Linked DNA regions of Lepisosteus oculatus. Each later gene encodes a partner of the first gene's protein in a complex. Links are inferred from orthologs where the notes say so. Each region holds a gene or a part of one and is shown in the gene's direction. Other genes may lie near its edges.

The links.
Region 2: the proteins of gnat1 (region 1) and pde6gb are in contact, whole or in part, in a cryo-EM structure (PDB 7JSN), measured with the Bos taurus proteins. The link is inferred for Lepisosteus oculatus from reciprocal best matches to the Homo sapiens genes GNAT1 and PDE6G. Residues at the interface, in NP_851365.1 of Bos taurus: Ser140, Arg201, Arg204, Lys205, Trp207, Ile208, Phe211, Asp227, Val229, Glu235, Val236, Asn237, His240, Glu241, His244, Leu245, Ser248, Ile249, Ile281, Phe283, Glu305, Leu306, Met308; in NP_776846.1 of Bos taurus: Arg36, Gln37, Phe38, Lys39, Ser40, Lys41, Pro42, Pro43, Lys45, Leu60, Val66, Ile67, Cys68, Pro69, Trp70, Glu71, Phe73, Asn74, His75, Leu76, Glu77, Leu78.
Region 3: the proteins of gnat1 (region 1) and unc119a1 are in contact, whole or in part, in a crystal structure (PDB 3RBQ), measured with the Homo sapiens proteins. The link is inferred for Lepisosteus oculatus from reciprocal best matches to the Homo sapiens genes GNAT1 and UNC119. Residues at the interface, in NP_000163.2 of Homo sapiens: Gly2, Ala3, Gly4, Ala5, Ser6, Ala7, Glu8; in NP_005139.1 of Homo sapiens: Asp87, Phe88, Val89, Arg90, Phe91, Ile105, Lys106, Lys107, Gly126, Arg127, Phe128, Val129, Tyr131, Phe137, Val147, Glu163, Leu172, Ser218, Tyr220, Asn230.

What each region holds. Positions count from the first base shown.
Region 1 is NC_090699.1:54,668,240-54,676,266, forward strand, and holds the start of gnat1 (guanine nucleotide-binding protein G(t) subunit alpha-1), read left to right. Parts: upstream 1-4,937; 5' UTR 4,938-5,210; coding exon 5,211-5,316; intron 5,317-8,027. UniProt on the Homo sapiens protein: Functions as a signal transducer for the rod photoreceptor RHO. Required for normal RHO-mediated light perception by the retina.
Region 2 is NC_090704.1:42,805,119-42,812,251, reverse strand, and holds the start of pde6gb (phosphodiesterase 6G, cGMP-specific, rod, gamma, paralog b), read left to right. Parts: upstream 1-4,035; 5' UTR 4,036-4,146; intron 4,147-6,422; exon of another isoform or gene 6,423-6,517; intron 6,518-7,133.
Region 3 is NC_090721.1:8,823,727-8,831,462, reverse strand, and holds the start of unc119a1 (protein unc-119 homolog A), read left to right. Parts: upstream 1-4,681; 5' UTR 4,682-4,981; coding exon 4,982-5,282; intron 5,283-7,736. Other genes in the region: crybb1l3 (crystallin, beta B1, like 3), read left to right, coding at 478-610, 1,377-1,519, 1,654-1,822. UniProt on the Homo sapiens protein: Involved in synaptic functions in photoreceptor cells, the signal transduction in immune cells as a Src family kinase activator, endosome recycling, the uptake of bacteria and endocytosis, protein trafficking in sensory neurons and as lipid-binding chaperone with specificity for a diverse subset of myristoylated proteins.

The sequences.
Region 1 (8,027 bases):
ATCTGAGATCCTCAATTGTCACCCTCGTGATCAACAAAATAGCAACATCTAGGCCAGATGTCCTTATCCTGTTTCAATGCAAACTCTACCAACACTGTTGTACCTTAACTGCCCATGACTACAAATGAGACAACTGCAGCAAGAAACTTTGAACATGATTTGATGGAAATGACGATCTTTGTCACCCATATAACCGGATTCCAACTGATAGAGAACACTGTCCACTAGACAACACTCACGATACAGTGTAAGAGAAAAGTGTTCCCTTTAACACAAGCCTAAGAGACTGTCCTTACAAGTTATTACAAAAATAAACTTTTTTGAATGCTATTGTGAAATGCATAAGAATACAGAAACTGTTTCCAGTAAAATAATTCCTGAATGCTATATTATTCAAAACTGGATACTACTGTACATACCTTGGTCAATTGGAGATCAAAGTACTTCTCACAATGAGCACGGGCAGGCAAACTGAGTTTACTAGGGTTTTTCATGAAATTTAAACAAGATATGACATGTTAGCAGCCTGTGTTATTTAAGATAAAAACTGAATACAAAGAACAGATGAGCAATTGGATACAAATTTTAATGAAATTCACTTTAGTTACTTTTACATTTGCTGCTAGTACTCTTAATTTAGGTTTCCAAGGACAGAAATGTTTATCAGCCATTGAACTCAGGTACACATGGCATAGTTAGTTCTAAAGCAGCAAGTTGAAAAGGAGACTAGCAGAAAAGTACATTTAAAAATAAACCAATGATTTGTTAACAAATAGCACAAAATTAAATGACTACTGAAAATGTGGTCTCAGTTTTTGCTTGCTTCATCGTGTTCTTGGGATCTTCAAAATAATTCAAATCAAATAAGCTTCAGCCTCAGAATTCAAATGTTTTTCAAACTCTTTACTGAGACATGAATGCTTAGTGGGGACATGCAAAACATTAGACAATAATTATAATTAATAGGTTGTGCTAATTAGAATGAAATGCATTTCAGTACTTCATATTGACGGAGATTCTGTTTCACTAGACATTGTGACCCCATAAATAACTAAAGAGGAGCATATAACACAAAGGATAGTGTTCTTACTATTAATGATGTCTTCATTAGTAGTAAAAAAATGATTTATTGTTATTTTAAGATGCAAGAAGAAATGATTGTTTAGATGGTAATACATTTTAAGACGAATCCCCCAGCCCCATAAGCCAGAAAAGTTGCCTCCTATTTTCCTATCGCTTTTCAAAATTAAACTGCAGCATTGTACAAGTGTTTAACTATTGGTAATATTTACCTACACTGATTTTAGTTAGAATAAAAAAGAAAATTCAAATACTGTTGCTGCTGGAAGTAGTATTTCCACTGTAAGTCTATAAAGAGTTACAGTATCCTTTTCAAAGATGATGACCAATTTAGAAATGTAGTTGTCTAAAAAAAGACTGCTATGTTCAGTTTAATAATCACAAGATGGCAGCAAAGACTCACAGTATTTATTATGATATAATTACAGTATTCGTTATCATACTTATCAGCATGACTAGTGTAATCAGGGAAGATAAAAAAATATAGAAAAGTAATATGAATCACATTTTACCAAGGATAAAACAGCAGTTTAGGAAAAATGTTGATTAATTTGTTGATTAATTTCATTCCAGAATTTGAATACTATTGTGCATGGATGATACCTGATACCTGTTATTACAACAGTTACTTTACACAGCAGTATGATTTTTAAGCATTATAATTCTATTTGCCCCAAGATAATCAATACAAAGTTTGGGCTTAACAGGTTTAATTTGTAACCAAACCAGTAGAACTTTGTGGCTGCATTTTGATATTTCAGTGCAGCCATTTTCATATCTAAATTCATTAGTCCAACATCACCCAAGTTACATTTCAATATTGAGCGCATGCTGAGGGAGTTGTGAGACGTTGCTGATACCCGTCAATCTTGAAATGTCTGATTCTGATTTTAAAAAATGTCGACAGCTGCAATCTGAAATTGTCACGAGCCACTTAGCCACTAACCATCTGCCCTGGATGATGAAGATGTTTGACTGAACAGTATACAACTGAAGGAACAGAACACAACACATTCTGTATTGTATCTTTCTCAGGATGATACATAACGGATTTGGACTGGACTGGTTAAAGCAGCATGAAGGTTGCACTGTGATTTTATTCAATGGTACCATGGTTTACCGAGGAACACAGCTGTTGAAAAATTCCTAAGTCTTAATGTGTCAACTACAGTGAATGCCAACTACATTTTGAGCATGTGACGTATCCATCCATTTTCTAACCACTTCCTCCAATACAAGGTCACAGGGGAGCTGAGGCCTATCTCAGCAAACTACGGCCGCAAAGCAGGATACACATTTGAAACATTATAAATGTAAATTTGGTGAATAACATCATGTTAACTGATTTAAGAATTCAGTTTCAGATTAAGAATGGAATGTTTTTATGCGCACAGGTAAATGAAAAACTGTAGAAATGATGGAAGAATTGCCTCGCTGTCTGTCACAAGTATAATAATCACAAGAAGCCTCCTTAACCACCTCACTAACACAACCTTTACTGCATAGAAAAACCTCCAGAACAATGTAAACCTTTCAATATCACCTTCTTTTATCTCACAAAAGCACTGGACTAGCTTTTGTTCTAGCAAACAGCTAGAACTAATGACAACAAATTAATGATAAAAGGCAGAGGCACTATAGGTATTAAAGTTATTCCACTACGACAGTTAATCATTAAGGGAATTTATGAAAGTTAAATTTCTACCAAATATGCTTCACAGGTGGGGACGATGAGACCCCCCCCACCACAACAGCTCATACAATAGGTTGACTGGTCTAGTCACCTTTCAACAGCAAGCTCCTCCATGCACTGCTCCCTGTGAGGGTGTGTGTTGTCATGGTGCTGAATGACACCAGTGCTGGGAGCCATAAAGGAACCAAAAGAGAAGCCTGGCATATTTGCAAGAGTCTTGTGTTAATTACTGAACATCTGCCCTAGGGCACTTTGCAAACCTTTGTGGATAATAGGAAGAGCAACCTTTGTCGACTGTCCTTGCATATCAATTCTGGTCACATGGTTCTCTCAGACAGCAGACAGTGGTATCATTCAGTTCACAGCACTCTCACATTTGTTCACCCTTTCCAAAATGTTTCACACTAATTCTATCCAAATTCTCCTGTGACAGATAGTTCGCACCATATTCTGCAGTCATTTTCTCATATTAATATCAAATGTCTGACAAAAGGTGATGCCACTAGGTAAAAACCTGAGAGCTGACAGCACTTTTCACTGCAAGACTGCTAGCACTACATGCAGGGAAATCAATCACTAAATTGTCAACAAGGTGTTCACATTTCTGCCTCAATATTGCACATAATAAAACTGAGGAACAAGTAATAGGTTTATTCCATGCTGAAAAAAAGAAGAAAGAGAACACAACGTTTCGGCCGTGGAGCCTTCTTCAGGTACCCACCTGAACTATATATAAATATATATAAATATCCTGCTATAGTCAGTTCAGCTGGAGGATGAAGGTCTCTTCAATGAGACCCTCTAGGACAGGCTGTGGATAAAGCTCTTTTTGCATCCACAGATTGAGGTCAATAAGAGCTGGCAGGTGAGACATTAAAGCTCCCCTTTAAGCACCTCAAGAGATTTGGGAGTAAGCCTTGAAAAACTCCTTCAATCTGCAGTGATAACACAAGGAGGGAAAGGGGGATTCTAAATTCATTGCCATTTCAATACAATGACACGAAAAACACCATGCTCTTAAAATGGAGACCTTTTTAATATTTGTGAAGAATGGCACAGCTGTCACCACAGGTTTGTGTGTCCTGAAAACTGTTCATACAGCCACTGTTTAAATCTTAAGACACTTCACACAGATTTAGCAAGATTATTTTTGACTCACTTTGAATCACATACAGTACTGGTATTGAATGAAAACATGTAAAGAGACAAGTGGATATCCCTTTTCTACACCTTGGGCTGCTGTCAGAAGGACTGGCCTGCCTGCAGTTCTGACAGAGTGTATCGTCAGTGACCTTAGCATTGCAGCCTGTTTCTGAGGACCATGGGTATCAAGTGTGAGGTCGAGATGACACCAAAAATGGCTGAGATGGAGACCTGTATGTCAAGCCCATTCTCTCTCACACACATCTAGTGTTTTTGTATGTTGAATCTATCACATTATTACCCCAGTACTCAAGGGCTGTGTGTCCCTTCCCCATCACTATAAATGAATGCCTAATTTATGGATTCATAAAAAAGAGGCACTCTGGGGTTTCATGCATTATTCAATATCTCCTCATTAAGCCATTCCCAACACTGAAAAAAAGAGCACTTTTCAATACAATTCAATAACATTTACTTCCCACTCTACAGATGACTAAACTCCTTCTGGACAATTATCAATTGTCTACTTTTCCATCAGTATGTCAAGCACCACAGTTTGCAATGTTTATTACTACAGTTCAGGCCCCAACTCCGCACCAGTCTAGATTACTTTCATATTAGAAAAATTGTGTTTAAGGACTGAATTCCTTTCAACAGGCTTTACAATAGCCTTTGAGGTGTGCGAGATCAAAGGCTTCAACCGTTCATTAGCTTCTATAACACAAGTCACCTCATCTTCCATGAATCAGGTTGTCCGATTTCCCCTATCCAAGCATTAAACTAAACTACAGCGTGCACAGAGCAATTAAAAGCCTTGCACTGTTACACTGCCTATGCACTGCTTAATGAGCATGCGTGTGTATATAATTGAAGGTAAGCGGTTTAGTCGACTTAACTGCATCACATTCTGCACCTTCAGCTGAGCAAAGCAAACTCTGCCTAAATCTTTTTCTAATTCTCCTGCCCCACCTCCCCCCTCCATCCTTTCACTTTTTCCTAGTTACCCCTCACTACCCTGTCCTTGTCTCCTGTTGGCTGCCGAGAACCAGGTGACTCCAGGGGTACACGAAATCCGTCTAAGAAGTAAAAGACGCCGACATTTGCAGGCAAGCGAGAGGCAGTTGATGTCCCAGCTGCGTCGCTGAGGCCAGAGAAGGCTTCGGACGGTGAACCGGCCATCAAGGACTCACCTGAGGCCTCCCCCCCTCCCCCCCAATTTCATTTTTGATCTCATTGAGAAAAACTCCCCAACTTCATTCTCGTCGGTCAAAAAAACAAGCCCAAAGGTTCCAGGATGGGAGCAGGTGCCAGCGCTGAGGAGAAACACTCCAGAGAGCTGGAGAAGAAGCTCAAGGAAGATGCGGACAAGGATGCCAGGACTGTCAAACTGCTGCTGCTGGGTAAAGTCTGACTTGTGCAGGGCAAGGCGCTGTGTTTACTAATATAAGCTTTCTTGTTTCCCCTATCTAGTGCAAGAGGGAAAACCAATAAGACTCTGCTTTGAGGGAGTTTGTTCTGAGGGTTTACACTACTGGTGAAGGTTGTACAGAATTCACTTGCATTCTGTGGAATTCACTAATCTTAAGAGTTAGTTAGGCAAAAAAAAATCTACTGGGCAAATCTTTTCCTGGGCATGAAATCAGGAGACACCTTTCCTAGGATTCTGTGGCATTCAGAACTGCAGTTTGTTTGACTATCCTTTGGATTAGAATAAGTGATGGTGGGTTTCTTTGGAAAGATAGGCTCATTTAAATCTAGTGGTGTTCTGCCTGTATTTTTGTTGCTGTCTACAATCAGATAATTGGCTTACAATAGCATCTTGCTTTCATATCTCCAACAGTGTGGCAGATGATTTTGTTTTCAAAAAGCAAAGATAATGTGGTATACATTTGCTCGGACCAGAATTTTCTTAACAAAATAAGGCAAAAATACAGTGCAAAGGTTATTGTTGTACGCGTTTCTTTTTTGCAAAAAAGTTTGGAAAGCAAAATGCAAATATCTGTCTAACACCTTAAAAAGGTACAGAGAAAATGTAGCCTCAATGTTCTAAAGCTACAGTGACTCCTTTTTACCACTACATCTAAATGTAAGTGGCTGCTTTTCGGCCTGTTCTAGCTCTGAATTTGTGTTTGATTCATTTTGGAACTAGTCACAATACTCCCCTACTTGGAAACAACAAGTCCTACATTCTCCAAATGTATCAACCTACAGTAATCTCATGAACCCTACAGGCTTTTAAACCATGTCCACCGCATTTGGGTAAAGATGTACAATAAATCACTGTAAAATGAGGAACCCTGACACCATCTAACGGCCTCAAGCCAAACAATGCTTTAATCCCAATTATGTGCTCAAATTATTTAAATGCATTCACTAACAACATTTAAAACTCAAATATATCCTAACAGATATTGTTAAATAATGTTCTAAGGAATGTAAAAAAATCCTTTATTTACTGTATATCACTATGTGATTACAACAAAATCATATGCAGTAGCCTTGACCAGACAAACCCAGTACTCCTGTGTAACACCTCAGAAACACATGATTAAGTAAAATACACCCTAAAACCTTTCTTGAGGCTGGAAGCTCAGCTGTTCTTAGGCTTTTCCTATGGTGGTTTTTGTCATTGTTCTCTCTTTGCTGGCTTAGTGGTGGTGAATTAGGGTGGAAGAGATGTATTAACACCAAAAACACTACATTGGACTAGAGGCCCGTATTTATGCCTATGAATCGGCAGGAACTACAGTCTTACTCCTAAAATTTATTTGAACTACACAGCTGATGTTATGGTCACTTCTTCTTATACGTAGAAAGGATAATACTGTATGCTGTATATTGTTACATATGTCATTTTATTGTTAATCATTCTGTACTATTGTATTCTGTATTCTACAGTACACTTTGAGCTAGTACACTTTTATTGGAGAAACAAGACATTCTTTCCATTTCATAATGTGTGAAATAAGTTGATAATTTTAATTTATTTTTTGTAGTAGTGTTCACTCTGAAAGACACGCTCCCGATATTAAACCATTGTTACAGTACATTGAAAGACATAAGTGGGTTACTTAAAAAAAAGCTCTTTGTAATTCTACTTAGGTCAGGACCAGAATGTTAAGTAAGGATTCAACACATACCTGGACATACAGTATTCAGTGCCCAGGTTGGGCCTTCCTGCTATGTGTTTATCCTCCAGACTGGTACAATGTAACTGAGGCTTCAGATTTCTGTAGAGAAGTCAAAATGACAAGAGTTTCATTTTTATACAGATATTCAGAGCAGTCTATTCAGAACACAACTAGAGGAGGCAGCAATCATCTGTAGCATGAGGGCTTTATTTTTGTTGGGCTACTGTATCATATCCAGACCAGCCGTGGGGATACCCACAGGTTGTAAAAAACCTATTAAGGCGAGAAATAGCTTCTGCTGTGATCGATATTTAGTGACTCGAAGTATCCCATGCAAATATGGATCAAGAGATAAAAGAGTGCTTAAAGAGCTCCCCATGACGCACTCTATCTGTGTCCTGACTTAAAAGGCTTAGTCCAGAAATAATTAGCTTGGCATGCCCTTATCACAATCCCTGCTAGCGGTACATGTTTAAAAACCTGTAGCTCCTCTATCTGGACACTATACTCTCTTGTTATTTATAAATGTCCCAAATGCAAAGTACACAGACACACTCTGTGTTGGGAAACTGGCTGAGGCCTTCCATATTTAAGAAATGTTTTTGTGTGAATTCACGCTAACTATAAGACTTACTTTGATACAAATGAATACAGACACTGTCATTCTTTAGTTGCAAATGGTGTGAAAACAAAACACCTTTTTTACAACAGGTCCTCTATGCTGGACTGCAAATTCAAAATCCTGTTTTGTAGAATTGCCAATATTTCTTTCCACAATCATTTGAATATTTCTTTTTGTTCACGAATAGGCTACTATTAGCTTACATTAACATATGTACGATACTCAATGCATGCAACATCACAGATAATGCAAAAACTCTGTGAGTTTTACTTAAGAGCACATATTCATGCACCTAGCATTGACTAGCCTTCCCGACACAAGCTGAAAATATCAGTCCTTAAACTTCAGACAGGGTGGA
Region 2 (7,133 bases), on another chromosome or scaffold:
GACATGACCATACCTTCTTATATGTTAAATACTGTAGCTCTGCATTAAGTAGTTTTATATATTCTATAAGCACACAGTAATACTGAATATATTTATATTTAGGTTATTGAAAGAGCTATGGTACACTTTCTATAAAAAATAGTTACATGTTTTTCTTTAATTCAATTTCTTGACATATTCAGGTAACCCGAATATAAGCCTGACAAGATATTCTTAGTGGTTTCCCATATTTGGCAGTAAAGTAACACATCCACTAAATGTAGCTCATTCCTAATGACAGCAAATATTCAACTCTATTCAAGACATTGCTGGGTTGTGTCCTGCAGAACATGATTTTAGAAGCTTGTCCTTTCCCTTTCTATATTGTGCAATTAAGAACATTGCATAAATAGCTACTAAAAAAAAACACTGAAAAGGCTGTTCAAAAGCAAGTTGCAATGTTGAAGAATACCGCAGAAGAGCTTCTTTGGCTACTAAGCAGTGGAGAGCAGCTGAGATGACAACACAAAATGAATGGGTCCGTGTATCTGTTGCCTTATGTTTTTCTGGTTCTTGTCCCATGCAAAATCAACAACCTAAACTTAGGTCAGATGTTTTACTGTATTCAAACTGACCTTAGCGAACGCTTGACAGTATTCAGAAGGAGAATGAGCTCAGCAAGGTGAAAGCGGTATAAGGATTCACGTGTCACTGTGTCTCTCTACCTTGCACGTGTGCTGAGTCCTCCCTGTTATCTGTCTGTTAATCACTGCAGGCCAGTGATGTAATGGGCTGCCTTTATGCAGTTTTTGAGAGGTTTTTCTAGTTTCGATCATCACCTGCTGACAGGGGGAATGATCCATTTGCTCCAAGCTCAGTGAAGTTAAAGTTCAAGGTACCATGGGGGTCTTATTTAGTTGTATCCGATCAGAAACACTACATGACTAGAGTTTTGTTGAAGATATCCTGCCGCTATTGCCTAACATGTTACCTACAACATTCGTTTCTTCCTTTTCAGGATTTAATTTTTCAATTACCTGTAACACGACCTGGCTGAGGTTGGTGTGGCAGTGAGCTCTTGGGTCCTGGATTTGGGGTGTGTTTCTGTAAGGTGCCTGCATGTTCTCCCCCATGATTAGATGTTCACTGGGTGCTCTATATGTCACCCATATCCTAGTATTCTTTCTCTGGAAGAAATGCATTTTACGAAAACATTAGCTCCAAGCATTAAAATCTGTCTGCTGCCCTGGGGGGAATTTTCTCATCCAGTCTACCCATCTGTAGTGCAATCATTGGCTACCCATCTGTAGTGCAATCATTGGCAGTCTGGCTTGTTCTTCACTAATCCATCTCAGTTTGTGTGAATGGATTTATCCCCTGTAATTGAGTGCAGTTATTGATTGAGACCTTCTGACATCTGCCCTGAAAGCACTAGCAGAAATGGCTAACTCCAGCCCCCAGTAGCCTGGGGCAACTAACAGGGGCTGTTGATTCCACAGCCGTATCGAGGTGGTGACCTCCAGATTTCTTCATGTCTGTGATGAAATAGGAATGAACAGAAGAGGTTAAGGATCGGTAAATGTAACATGTTAATAAAATTAAAATGATATACTGTATTTGTATTAGTATTGCACAGAACAAAGTCATATGCGTCATAAATAATTCAATTAATTCCAGAAAACATACGGGTCATGTAATGTTAAGATAAAAACAAATTGTACGGAAGAAATAAGAAACTGTCCTATATACCCCAAAGAGCAATAACAGTAATCTTTTTCATTACACTTAGTGTTGTAATGAATTACCCTGCATAAAGAAGGTTGTATCTGCCTGAATATGGTTACTTTGTAAAAGAAACTGAAAAAGAGGGCATTTTTGGTTCCATTATTTCAGTGCAAATCTTAATTTGAGTGTAAAATAGTACAGATAGCCAATATCAAAATTCAGAAGTTTATTTGTTTTTAGAACACTTATTTACACATAATAAGTTGAATTGTTTTCACTTTTTTTCTCAAATGAAATAATTATACATATCAATAATACATTTATAATACAAGGACAAACAACTAATGTTTAAAAAATCCAAAAGAAACATTTAGACTTAATCTAGGATCTCTTAGATTAGCACCCTGTAGTATTTGTAGAACTAATTTAGGCTGTGTAATTTTCTTACTAAACAAAAACATCAGCATAACAAGATGCCAACATTCATGAATCTGGCCCAATATTTGTTAAAGACAATCAAAGCAAATGTCCAATTGAAGACACAGTTCAAAACATTTCTGCTTGATTTCCACAGGTTGCGCAACATTACTGCATCGCTTAGCTGATGCAAAGTTTATTTATAAATTAGTTGGCTGTTGACATGCCAGGGGTTCATTTTGTTACCATGGACAGATGCAGATGACCAGATTAGTAAATGAACCAAAATAATCCAGGTCACAGCCTCTCAAAATGTAATTACACAGACCAGACTAATTGGAAAATAAATAGAATTGGTACTTTAGGACTAATCATTTTTTTCTGATTAGGCTAAGACATTTATTATAGTACATCTCAGTGATGGCAAGATTATCACAGGGTGTAATCCTTCACTTGAATGGAGGTTTACATACACGTCTCGTGAAAGATTACCTGGCAAGACTAATTAATTCAATCTTCTGGACTGCTGAGGAGCGCAGTTTCTAGTTCATCATTATTAGGACAGAATAGAAAGAGGTTCCTAATACATTTGCAGAAGGTCTTCATTACATAATAGTTCTTAATAGTTTCTACACCTGTTCACATAACACTAGAGTTTTCCAGAAAGTTCTTGCAACCAATGAAACCCAGGAAGTTTTGCACAGAAACGTCTACGTTTTCAAACGTGGGGGGGCAGGGGGGGAGAGGGGGATTACCTCTGCCAAAATGTGATATATAACATTAATTCAGATGTTTTGGTGTTACCATCTCTTAGTATGGTTTGACCTTACAAAAGAGAACCATTAATCTTTACAGAAAAAAATCTGTTTTTTTTACCCATTTTTTCCTATACGTGGGGCAAATTTTTGGAGGGGGATTGTGGAAATCTTAACCTGACAGAACGCTTCTCTTGATGTGTCCAATTTAATTTCATGTTACAAAATGATAAGAGGCTAAAGAAATGCAATCGAAATATATGACTTTGACTTAATACACTAATAAACTAATACAATTTTTATCAGTTATACAATTTTAAGACTATGCTCAAATATATATTTTTTGTGGTGTAAAAGCACTAAAAAAACATACAAGAAATTTTCCATAAACATGTTAAGCTTTTAAAGTATTATTCACTGATTTTGCTTAAAGTAGCCATGCACTGCAGCAATTAATTGATCAATATCATATGTAGAGAAGCTAAAATTGTACTCTCATCTGCAATTACTGGAAAACAAAATGACAAAAGTACAATAGGTGTTATCTTAAATTTTAAAAAATCAAATCCATCAATTAGACCTCAAAGAAAGAATAAAAGCTCAGTACATCACGCTTTTACACCATCAACTGAATGTCACATAAAATAAAAGAAGAGTGTACTTTTGCCTTCTCCACTGTCTATCAGAGTGTTAAAGAAAGATACAGTATCTGGCATAAACAGATACTGTACATTTTAAATTATACTGCAATTCCAAACTCTAAAGTGTCAAAATCTGTAAAAATACAGCTCTACATTTCTGTCTCCAGAAATACACATCTTGTTAAAAATATACAGCTCAAATACACCTGACAGGTCTCTTTCCTATTCTTTCCTGTACCAATAATACACAGCAGGCTGTGATTTGAGCCCTTTGTCTTTAGGGCAATGTATTCAATGTTTTATTTTTCCAAACCATGGTGGAAAAGCAGCTTCACTACGTCTAAGACCCAACCCTGAGGCCAGTAAGATGACAGTGTCCTTCATGCTACAGCCAGCGCTCTGCCACCCCACCCACCCCCACCACCTCATCTCTCCCTGCTGTTGGTATCAGCTGTGATGACAGCGGATCAACAGCTCATTTCTAATCTCCTTACGAGCACAGGTATAAGAGGCAGGCAGGCCAGACTCCATGCTCAGAGCAACCCTAGCTTAGAGAAGCAAACCGCGGCCAGTGAGAGCTGGTTTGGGCTCTCGCCTTTGTCTGGCAAATGGTCACCGCCGCATAGACGGTAAGTCCAAGGCTCTGGGTCGAGCAAGGGAACAAAAAGCTGACTCCGGCGGAACGAGACTGACAGATGCAACTGAAGTTGGGTAGCTGTGCACTTGGGAAGCATGAGTGTAGGGGCATTTGAAAGTGACAGAGGAGGCTGTGCTTGAATATTTGCATTCAATTGGCTTGAGTAAGGAGATGAGGTACTGTAGGTGATGAGGTGTTTAGTTTATCTGTAACCAAATAGCCTGTCTCCATAGTTCAGAAAATTTGGTCCACTTTCCATGCAATCCTAGGGGTCAATGGAAGTAGACTGTGCTTTTTACTTTGGGTATTTTCTGTCTCTCATGGTAGAAAACGTAGTGGGATTAAGTAAATTCAGCCTGTGAACATTTTTCCTTGCACAAGGTTGCATTCAGATAGTCAGTAGGTAAGAGACTCTGGGATAAAACACTAGAGAGGGTTAGGATGTATCATACAAAGACCTGAAACATGGACTATTTCAGAGTGACACCAAGATGCAAATGCAGTTGGGTGATGGGAGAAGTCTAAAGGGATAGAACGTATTGTGTTTCTTCCGCACCAAATGCTTTATAACATGGCAGCACTAGTTCAGGCAGTACTTTCTGGGACTGAGTTCAGATTACCGGCAGCCTTACTGGCATATTACTAAAAACCTTGTCAAGATAACAGCATGCTACAATGTGCATCTAGCTTCCATTTATCGTCTCCTGATATGTGCCCGACATAATATTTAAACATTTCAGGTGATCCAGGTTGGGTTGTTTATTGAGATTTATTGAAGATTAACTAGATGGGACTGACTGGGATAGGCTTACTGTGGAGCAGGTTGGTTTTCATCAAATGCGTGGAATATGTAAACTCTCACTGTTGAAGTGTTTCAAGGCTGTGAATTGTTTTGGTCACATCTGATTATTTACACAGACGGAGCTCATGAGTACACAGTAAGGCAGAGCAGGTACCAGTTGAGTAAATACTCACGTAAAAGCTGGTGAAATCCTGCTGGAATTAAAATGTTCATGTTTCTTTGGAGAAATTAGGAAACTGAAGGGTGTGCATTTAGTGGGTTTGATTAAAGAGAAGGGTTCTAGGGTGAAATGTTTAAACTTATTAGTTTAAATTTATTAGTAATAATGTAGACTTCCTTCTTTTAATAGTTCAGAGATTTTTTCCACTTTCCATATAATCCTACAGGTAATCAGTAATAGTTATGCAGTATATATGAGAAAACAATGCATGTTCATGTTTTAAGCAAATTCTGGCAGTGAATTTACATTTTTTCTCTGCACAAGATTTAATGTGCCTGTATGAGGAAGAGGGTTTTTTTGTCATCCAGGAAGAGAGATAACATTGAAACAGTTATGGTTGTCAAGGAAATGGATTATGATAAATTTTTTATTTTCTTTAGGGGTGGGGACCACAAATAAACACAAATAAAAGTCCATAAAAGCAGTTTCAGGGAGTTTTGTTATATCTTGCACAGCGTATGTAATTTCTTTGTGTAAAGCATGCAGGTTGTGCATTCAGTGTGCAGATATTTAGAATCCCCCGGTCAAAGAAACAGATGTTTCTGGTTGCAGACTATATACATATATACTTGAGGAACATGAGACAGAATTGGTTTGTTCCTTCTGTCTCTTTCCCTAGTCAAACAATTCCTTTATTCCAATCCTGCTGAAAACCACTATAAAATGTACAATCCAGCTCCACAAACTTTTAGCTCCATCATAGCTCTGACTGAAGGCAATCTTGATAAAACTGTAAAATGATATTAGGCTGCAAATATGTGAAACTCCTATTGGAATGTATGCCAACTTCTGTTCAAACTGGTTTTCTGCTTGCAGATTCCCAAGCTGCTATTTCCCAGGGGTTCCTGATATTAAATGGAGCCCCAATGGTCTCTTGGTTTATCTGTCACTTAAGATCACGTTGCATATTGGTTAGCACGTTCTTTACATAAAAACAAAGAAAAAGGAACAGTAGGAGAGGCAGCAAATTCATTAAATCAAAGTGATCACCTAAACTACAATGAAACAGACATCTATAATCTGTTTAGCCACATGCAGGGATAAACTGTCTCAGTGTAAGGAGATCTGAACTAAACAGGCCCTAAAATTAGCATACAATATTGTGTTGTCGGATGTTGTCGGAGTGCGAGGATGCAAATTGAATTGAGAAATGCACGTGTCGCTCAGATTACCATGTAAACAGCTGTGCAGGAAGAGCATCTTTTGGAGATTAAAGAGATTTAGAGAGATTTTTGACACTTCAGCACATTTTATGTACAACAGGTATTAAAGCTGGGAGGGTGTAGCACTCAGAACCATAGAGACCACAACAACAGAAACTAGATCTAGCATATATCTGAGGTAAGGCTTTCCAAATGGGCTATGCTGTCAACAATATGCATGTTTATAAATATTGCTAAAGATAGTGGTAGCAACTGAACTGGCATTGCTTTATTTTAAATAATCATCATTTCTCCTTCTGACCTTAGTCAGTAACAACTACAAGTGCCAAAATTGCTGTGTTTTCTTCTTCCTTCTTATTACTTCATATTTTTGGTTCCACAGTGGACATATAATCTTGCTTAGATTTGTATCTCAGAAAAAGAGTTTCCTTTTGTTGAGTGTGCAGCTGTTGTTACAGGTGATGCTGAAGAATGGAATTAATGGCCAGTTTAGTGAACCAGTTCTGAAGGCTTTTTGTGTGGATGAGGGAATGAAGAGAGACAATGAAATGCATTAGGATTTCCCTAGGTGCTTGAACTAGGAGTGGATAAGCCAAATTTGTTAATTACATTATTACTGCTTTGAACAATTTGCTCATCTGAATAAGAAAGGTCTATAAAAGCAAATTGTAGCTGAGAAGATTGGTATGTTGACAACAGAAATGGTTGACAATGTTTTCAATTGTACAATTGTTTTAAATAACAATTTTGTATAATATTGTTGAAGTTGGTTGTATAATATTGTTGAAGAGCTT
Region 3 (7,736 bases), on another chromosome or scaffold:
CCTCAGCTCAGAATCTAGACTAAAACCATAACTTAACTGCCTCTGCTGTGATGACGTGGGCTACAGTGCTTCTGTACGTATGGTCTTGGGAGAATATGGTACACGCCCTATGCAAAAAAATGAAGATTTGCCAACCACATCCTTTTGAAAAACACAGAATTGTGTAACCGAACTGCCTGCTTTTTTCTGGTGTGTTCCCTCTTTATTGTAATTCATATTTTTGAGTCAAATGCCTAACCAACATTGCATTCCCAAAGAGTGGGCAATCCTCAGTCAGCACCAATGTGTCAAGAGCACAGGCCGTAAACCCGGTGGTAGATCCACAGCTCTTTAACTCAGAGGCTATGTTTCCTCATCAGGGCTGATGGGTTAGCCTGCAAAGCTGTGAAAGGGAACTTTGCACCAGTCTGTGTTGGCAGGCTGGTAGCTACAGTGGAGTGTTTGACGCCATTTTGTTGTCCTCCTGTTGTTGTCCAGCTGGGTTGGGTACGACCAACAGAACTTCACCGGCGAGATGTTCATGCTGGAGAAGGGAGAATATCCCCGCTGGGACACCTGGACCAACAGCTACAGAAATGACCGGTTCATGTCCTTCAGGCCAGTCCGTATGGTGAGCTCTCAGGCCTCTCTCTGTTCTGTCACACCGGGACGTTGTCATTAATAGTTCTTATATTATATAATAGTTCTTCTTATTATAAAGGCGCCTTCCTTCAGATGAGACTAAAACTGAAGTCCTGACTCTCTGTGGTCGTTACAAATCTCAGGGCATTTCTCGAAAAGAGTAGATAGATAGATAATACTTTATTAATCCCGTAGGGGTATTACCCCTGTGTCCTGGCCAAATTTCCCCCTGGCCTTTACCAGTCATGGCCTCCTAATAATCCCCATCTCTGAACTGTCTTCATCGCTCTGCTCTCCTCCCCACTGAGAGCTGGTGTGTGGTGAGAGGACTGGCACATCATCCAGGTGGGGCTGCACACTGGTGGTGGTGGAGGGGATCCCCATTACCTGTGAATCGCTTTGAGTGGAGTGACCAAAAAAACACAATATAAGTGTGAGGAATTCATTAATTCTTTTACAATATGAGATGGGAGATGGGGGATAACCAAGTCTATGCTGCCTGCTTCTTCAGACAGATGACTTTTAATCTGCATAGAGAGGCTTAATGAGTGTTGTTTTTCAACACAGTCATACGTTCAGTATGACTTAAGTTCACAACATGCATCAGCAGAGACCTGGTTCCTACAAGCATCGGGATTACGCAAGAAGGGCGCTGCAGAGTCTAGCGCCTGGAATGCAAAATTGTGCAAAAACTCTTTTCGCGTGAAAGAAAAAGTGGTGCTTTGACAGCAGCCCCCGGACTGCTCTCTCTCTAGGACGCCCAGGACCACAAGATCTGCCTGTTCGAGTGCGTGAACTTCGAGGGGCGCAAGATGGAGGTGTGTGACGAGGATATCCCCAGCCTGTGGTCTTATGGCTTCCAGGACCGCGTGGCCAGCATCCAAGTCATGGGGGGAACGTGAGTCTCAATCAGTCGTCAGTCTGGAGTTCATATAGCGACTTTCCATGGCGATCCTAGGCTTGGGCTTCGTCTTCTCCGCAGGAGGCTCGTGAAGGCACAGCTCTCACTCTCTCTTCTCCCTCTCTCCGTAGCTGGGTGGGGTACCAGTATCCCGGTTACCGTGGCTACCAGTACGTCTTCGAGTGTGGGCCCTACAAGCACTGGAACGAATGGGGCGGCCAGCACCCCCAGATCCAGTCCATCCGCCGAGTGAAGGACATGCAGTGGTACCGCCGGGGCTGCTTTGAGTTCACGGCCTGAGGAAAGGCCACAGTGACCCCAGTGGTCCGCCCGCCCCCGGGCCGACACACTGGAGCTCCACACACAGCTGAGCTCCCTCTGTCCACCCCTCACAGACCAGCCATCACCGCTGTTAGTGTCATTACTGGGAACAGCTCTGCTTGCAGACGGGGGGGAGCCACTGATCCTTAGTCAAAAGGAGGTCGGCTAGTTCATAAGGCAGTGCTTGCGATTCGGCCCTCTGCCAAAGTTATTGCCCAACTCTGAAAGAAGACTGGAGCCACAGTGTTTCTTGCTTACTGGACATATATAATTGATTTTTTTTTATCCTCATAATGACAACAAAAATAATTATAATAATGATAAGAACAGCGCTTGATGGGTTGGTTTGTGCATTCTGTTTCGGGAGCTAAAGAAATTCCCCTTCTGCAAAATTGGACTTTTTAAAAATAGTGATTTTTTATTTATCATTATCATACTTCATATACCATTTAGCCTTTGTTTTGTTCAGTTGTTTGTTTTGATTTCAGTCCATCCGTATTTGAAACATAACGCAATTGACAGAAAGTGTAACAGATAAGTTATATTTAACCATGGAAAGTTCGGAAATGCTTAAGTAAGTGAAAATCCACCCTCAGGACTTTTCCTTGTGGCTTACTTCTGACAGGAGGAAAACCAATACTCGGTTTTTTCAATGAAAAGCGAGTGAGTCTTTGCGATTTAATGTCTCCAAAGACAAGCCCTGCAATCACATGGCCAGCAGAGGGCAGTGTTTCCTGAACTTCAGTACCAGGACTCGTTCTCTTCACAACTGTGACCTCTGTGGTTGTCCATGTAACTTTGACCCTTAGGGCAGGGCCTTCAGACCTCCTCACGCACGGAGGACCCGTGTGCGTTTGGATTTGTGGCCTGATTACACCCTCAATTATTCTGATTGCACACGGGATCTCGTTCAGCGTTTCCCAGCCAAAATCGGTTCATGAAAGGGGTGCCGAAGCTCCTGATGAGATCACACTAAAAATGTGTCTGTTAGGTAGCTGGGAAATTGAAGGTCAAAGGGCCCTTTGGCAGCAGAACTGAGGTTCCCTGCTGCCGACAGGCATGAGCACATATCTGGTGCTCTTTGGGGAGATTAGGAAAAGGGGGTGCAAATTATAGACAGAATGAAGTAACTGCTGCTGAAAATGGCTGGGGAGCCCCAAGGGAAAGCTGCTGCCTATCCTTCTCTTTTGCAAGGGGGGCGATCCTAGAGATTCTGGCAAAGCCGTGTCTTTCTCAGGGATGCTGGTATCTGGAAATCTGAGGCTTTTTTCAGGGCCTGGAAAAAGAGAGATTCCGAACCTCGACGCTACTGCATGTCGCAGCCAGAGACTCCTGCGCTTAGATTTTATTTCTGCTTTTATTATTTTATTCACCCGTTCGCGTCCCCCACCCCCCTCACTGCCAACTGCATTTAATTTGTGTATCCTATTCCTGAATAAATGTGGACAGTCTTTTAACGACACATCTTGAGTCTGGTTTCTGAACGAGCCCTGAATGTTTCCCCGAAAAACAAACAAACAACAACAACCGAAGTTTTCCCCGCGCAACACCGACAGCGAGCGCGGTCTCGGCGAAGTATGGCAGCGCCGTGTCTCTTGAGCGTCGCCGCCCACCGCGGTACTCACGGGATCCGAGAGAGCACAGCGCAGGGGGGCTTCCTACAGGAGCCAGCAGCGAGGGGCGCATCCGACATTCTGGGCTTCTCCCTGAAACACACCACCAGACTGAGAGACAGCATGTTAATTATAATAATAATTGCTGACACTTATATAGCGCTTTTCTGGACACTCCACTCAAAGCGCTTTACAGGTAATGGGGATCCCCTCCACCACCACCAGCATCCACCTTAAGCGGATGTTAAGCGCAGGGGAGATCGTCTTTGTCATTGCTGGAATTGATCACATCGACACTCGCGGTTTCGAGGTGCTTCGCCAGGCAGGACAGCTCCGGCGGCTGGGATGACGGCAGGCGGGGATTGTATCGAGGCGGCTGGTCGTCGCTCAAATCCGGGCGTTACTGCGGCGGGTGTCATGTCTGAACTTCAGCGCCGCCGCCGCCGCCGCCTGCACTGACATTCTGTTCGTTTCGGACTCATCACACGGATTTATCCAGAAGTTCAGCGAGATCCTCAGAGCTCCTCAGCGCCGGAGACGGGGAGCGAAGGCTGTAGCGCAGAAACACCACATTTCAGTGACTTATCTTGGGCTACACTTTGAAAATTAAAAGTAGATTAGCCCACTTGTTTCCTGCGATATTTTATTGTCCCGACTTTTGCACTTCCTGAATATATACTGTATGGGGGGCATGAAATGCTATTCACAAGGGCTGTGTGGTGTAGCTGTAATAAATAAATGGTGGATGTTAACTACGTAACACATTTCTATTCAATATTTTGGTCGTAATCCTCATAATAAATAGGGCGACGTCTTGAGCAGATTACTGCAAACTGCGTGCCCGTGGAAACGTTCAAAGCCAAGCTCTGAGACACGGGTACATCGCTACCCAAACCCACTGAGCGAAGAAAAAAAAAACGACAACTTCTCCTCAGCTTCCTGCCAACGCAGAAAAATGGGCCATACCACAAGTCTGAGAGGGGAGGTTTCGGTACAGAGGCAGATACATTTCACGATTATCCAGGCGTGAATGGCGACAAACACGTCTGAGTCTGGCTGCAGAATCTGTCGTTCGCCGCCCCAGACGTGCGCCGGTCGCTCCGGCCGCTGGCGCTACCGCCGTTGTGACACCAGAAATAAAGGCTTCTCCCTTTCCGAAAGCCGGGGAAACTAAGTGGGACCCCACTGTGTACAAGAGCGTGTGCATGTCTGTGGCGTGTGCGCGTCCGTCAGTGTCTGTGTTGCGGAGAGACCGCTTCCTTTGCGTCTCGGCCGGAGAGAGTGGCGCTCGGCGAGCTAGCGCTCAACACAGAGCCGGCACAGGCGCAGTCTGGCGCGGGCGGCGGATGCTCTGGGCAGTCGCTGGCCGAAAACGGAAAGGATCTGTAGAACAGGGGGATTTAAATAAAATACCGAGCGGGCGCACTAGCAGCGAAGCGACTGACGGGAGCGAGCGAGCGAGCGAGCGAGGGAGAGAGAGGGGGGAGAGTGTTTTGTATCTTTACTAGTGGGGGGGAGGAGGAGAATGAGCTATTCTTGTATCGGCACAGAGGCTGTCTGCAATAGCCAGGACTCATCCAGCAGCAGCGCTCAGAGGTCTGGCACTAGTAAAAGCAATAATCCCAGCGGTGGCAGCGGCAGAAGCGCGGAGAGCAGCGACCACCAGACCCAGGACACCCCGACCCCCAAACCACTCGTGGCAATGAGAGTGAAGAAAGGCTGTAACTCCACCGAAACAGGGGTCCCGGTCACCACGGAGGAGGAACTGCTCAGGAAACCCGTGATCACCCCCGAGGATGTGCTGGGGTTGCAGAAGATCACCGAAAGTAAGTGGCGTCGGTTATTGCAGTTATCGTCATCGCTGTCGCGGCGTCCGGTCTTAAAGGATGCCCGTGTGCGCGGTATCTCGCTCCGGTAATGTTCGGCACCCGAAGGGCGGACGGGGACCGTATTTCCTAGGTGCCACATTGGGGCGATACCGACGGGGTAGCTAGAGTCTGCGACGTCGCTGCTCGGCTCTTCCGTGGCGTGGAAACTCTCATCTGCACCCGTTGTTTCCTGTCTGAACGGATCAAATACAGCCCGTCAGGGGTCGGAGTTTCACCGCAGATCGGTAGTTTTCTGTTCAGGGAAGACCTGGTTAGTTTGGCATAAATGTGCGCTTTAAAGAGGAGTGCAGTAGGAGTTCAGCCCCGATATAGAAACAACCTTGGCACCCCCACTTGAAACCGCTACACCTTAGCAGCGCGATAACCAGGATGAGGAGCACAGTTGCTGTTATAAACGCTACCCCCGGTTTGGTGGTTGTTAGCATCTCGGAGCTCCGTATCTCATGTACAGCTTGACAATCTGTTTCCCAGTAGGTCTCCCCCGTGCATTACAGCCGACGGGTATGATTGTGAAGGGGCGAAACCTCTTTCACAGCCCTCATTTACCTGAGAGGCTGAAGTACAGACCGCTGTTGAGCGACAGCTCACAAACACGGCGAGAGCTCGCTCATACAGTGTGTTCCCAGCCATTTCCTCTTGATCCGCTATAGCGTTATCATTAAACGCAAGCAGAAACTGATCTTATACCGCTGCCCGGTTCCTGATGTTGGTTTTCACGTTAAATGTCTTTCCAAACCCCTGATATTTCAGGGAGCGCAAGAGTGTGTGTTAACACGGACGGGAAAAAGGCTGCCAGGTTTTAAGACGGATCTGTAATGGACATGTTATAAGCGGCTTCCCGACACTGGACTCGCAGCCTTCTGCGATACAGTGGGCTGGAAAGGGAGACAGAGAGCCTTATGTAATTTTCCATTACAGAAAACGCAAAGGTTTTCCGACCGTTCCTCGACCTTAAATACTTAGGATTGACTTCAGAATATGTGGATATGTTAATAAAATAATAGAAGATATAATCCTGGAAATAAAACAAATGTGTTCCCAAGCGGACAGGGGTGAGACAGACAGCGAATACGTTGCCACATTCACACCGGGTCTGCCACTGGAAGGAAAATGCCTGCCGGCAATAAGGGATTAGTCACTCGTTATCTTTCTCCCATAGTCTCATCCCGCAGTCTCTCTCTCTCCCGCTGCGTGAGTGTGCATGAACTGTGCATGTTTCTGCGGAGACTGAGCCACAGTGTCCCAACAGCGGTAACGAGTGACATGACGCGTGTGCAGGTGCGCACACGCAGAACCGCGAGTGTCGCATCCCGAGCGGCGCCGGGCCGCTCTGTGACTGACCTGACCCTGGGTAGGCAACAGGTGGTCGCATGGATCGAGAAAGGCGGGCCCTGGCTATTTTAAGAACCGCGGAAGATGTTACACAACGCACAGCCGCCGGTTTTATTCCGGCCTGTTTCTGAGCGATTGCTTTTGGTCTGCTTTGGCAGTGCCCAGCGCGGGCTCTGCGGGGGCCGTCTGTTTAACCCCCCCCCACCCAGCGTGGCTGAGTGATCAATCCTTCTATCTCCCCAGTTTCTCATTCGATCCATGTTCGACACACAGTGACAGTCACGGCACGTCCACCCGCGTTCCCGGCGCAGAGAGACCATGTTGGAGTTTCCAACTGACCATGACTGGTCCCAGATTCTTATTTCCTGCCCTTCTGAATCAGAACAGATTGGTTGGGGATGGGTGTCACTGCTCAGGCCGGTATTAAGGATCTGTCTTGGAAGCCCTACTGGGGCAGGTTAGGGGCATCGGGCAATCATGAGGTTCAGAAACGCTCCTGTTTTATTTAAACGTGATAGTACTTTCTATACAGTGTACTTTTTGGAACTGGGTCTAATTGTTGCGCTTGTTTAATTTTAATCTAAGTGTGGCTTCTACCTTCGACCATATGACAACTTAAGTGAGTCTGTAGGTCACGAACTATTATCCTCAGCAACGACATAGTAATTACGAGCGTTATTAAATATGGTATAACAGTATGGTTCGGTGATTTATCGGTGCAGGTAAGTTAAAAAATGTCTTTTCCAAAGACAAACAGCAGTCAAAATTATGGACATGAAGCAGCTCTCCTCCTCACAGACAATTCTTAAACAGTCCATTAGACAGGCAGAAAGAAATCATTTTCTTAATTCTAAATATCAACTTTTAGGGCTCCCAAATGTAGATCAAATTGATAAAAATATTTGTTTGTTCCCTTATCTATTAAAGCAATTAAAACATTATAAATGGTTGAATGATTATGCTGTAACAGACTATGTCCGTGCATTATGTCATGTCAGTGTTGTGACGAGTTATGCACATGCAATACTGTAGATGCGATGTGTAATGTTTTGTGATGTG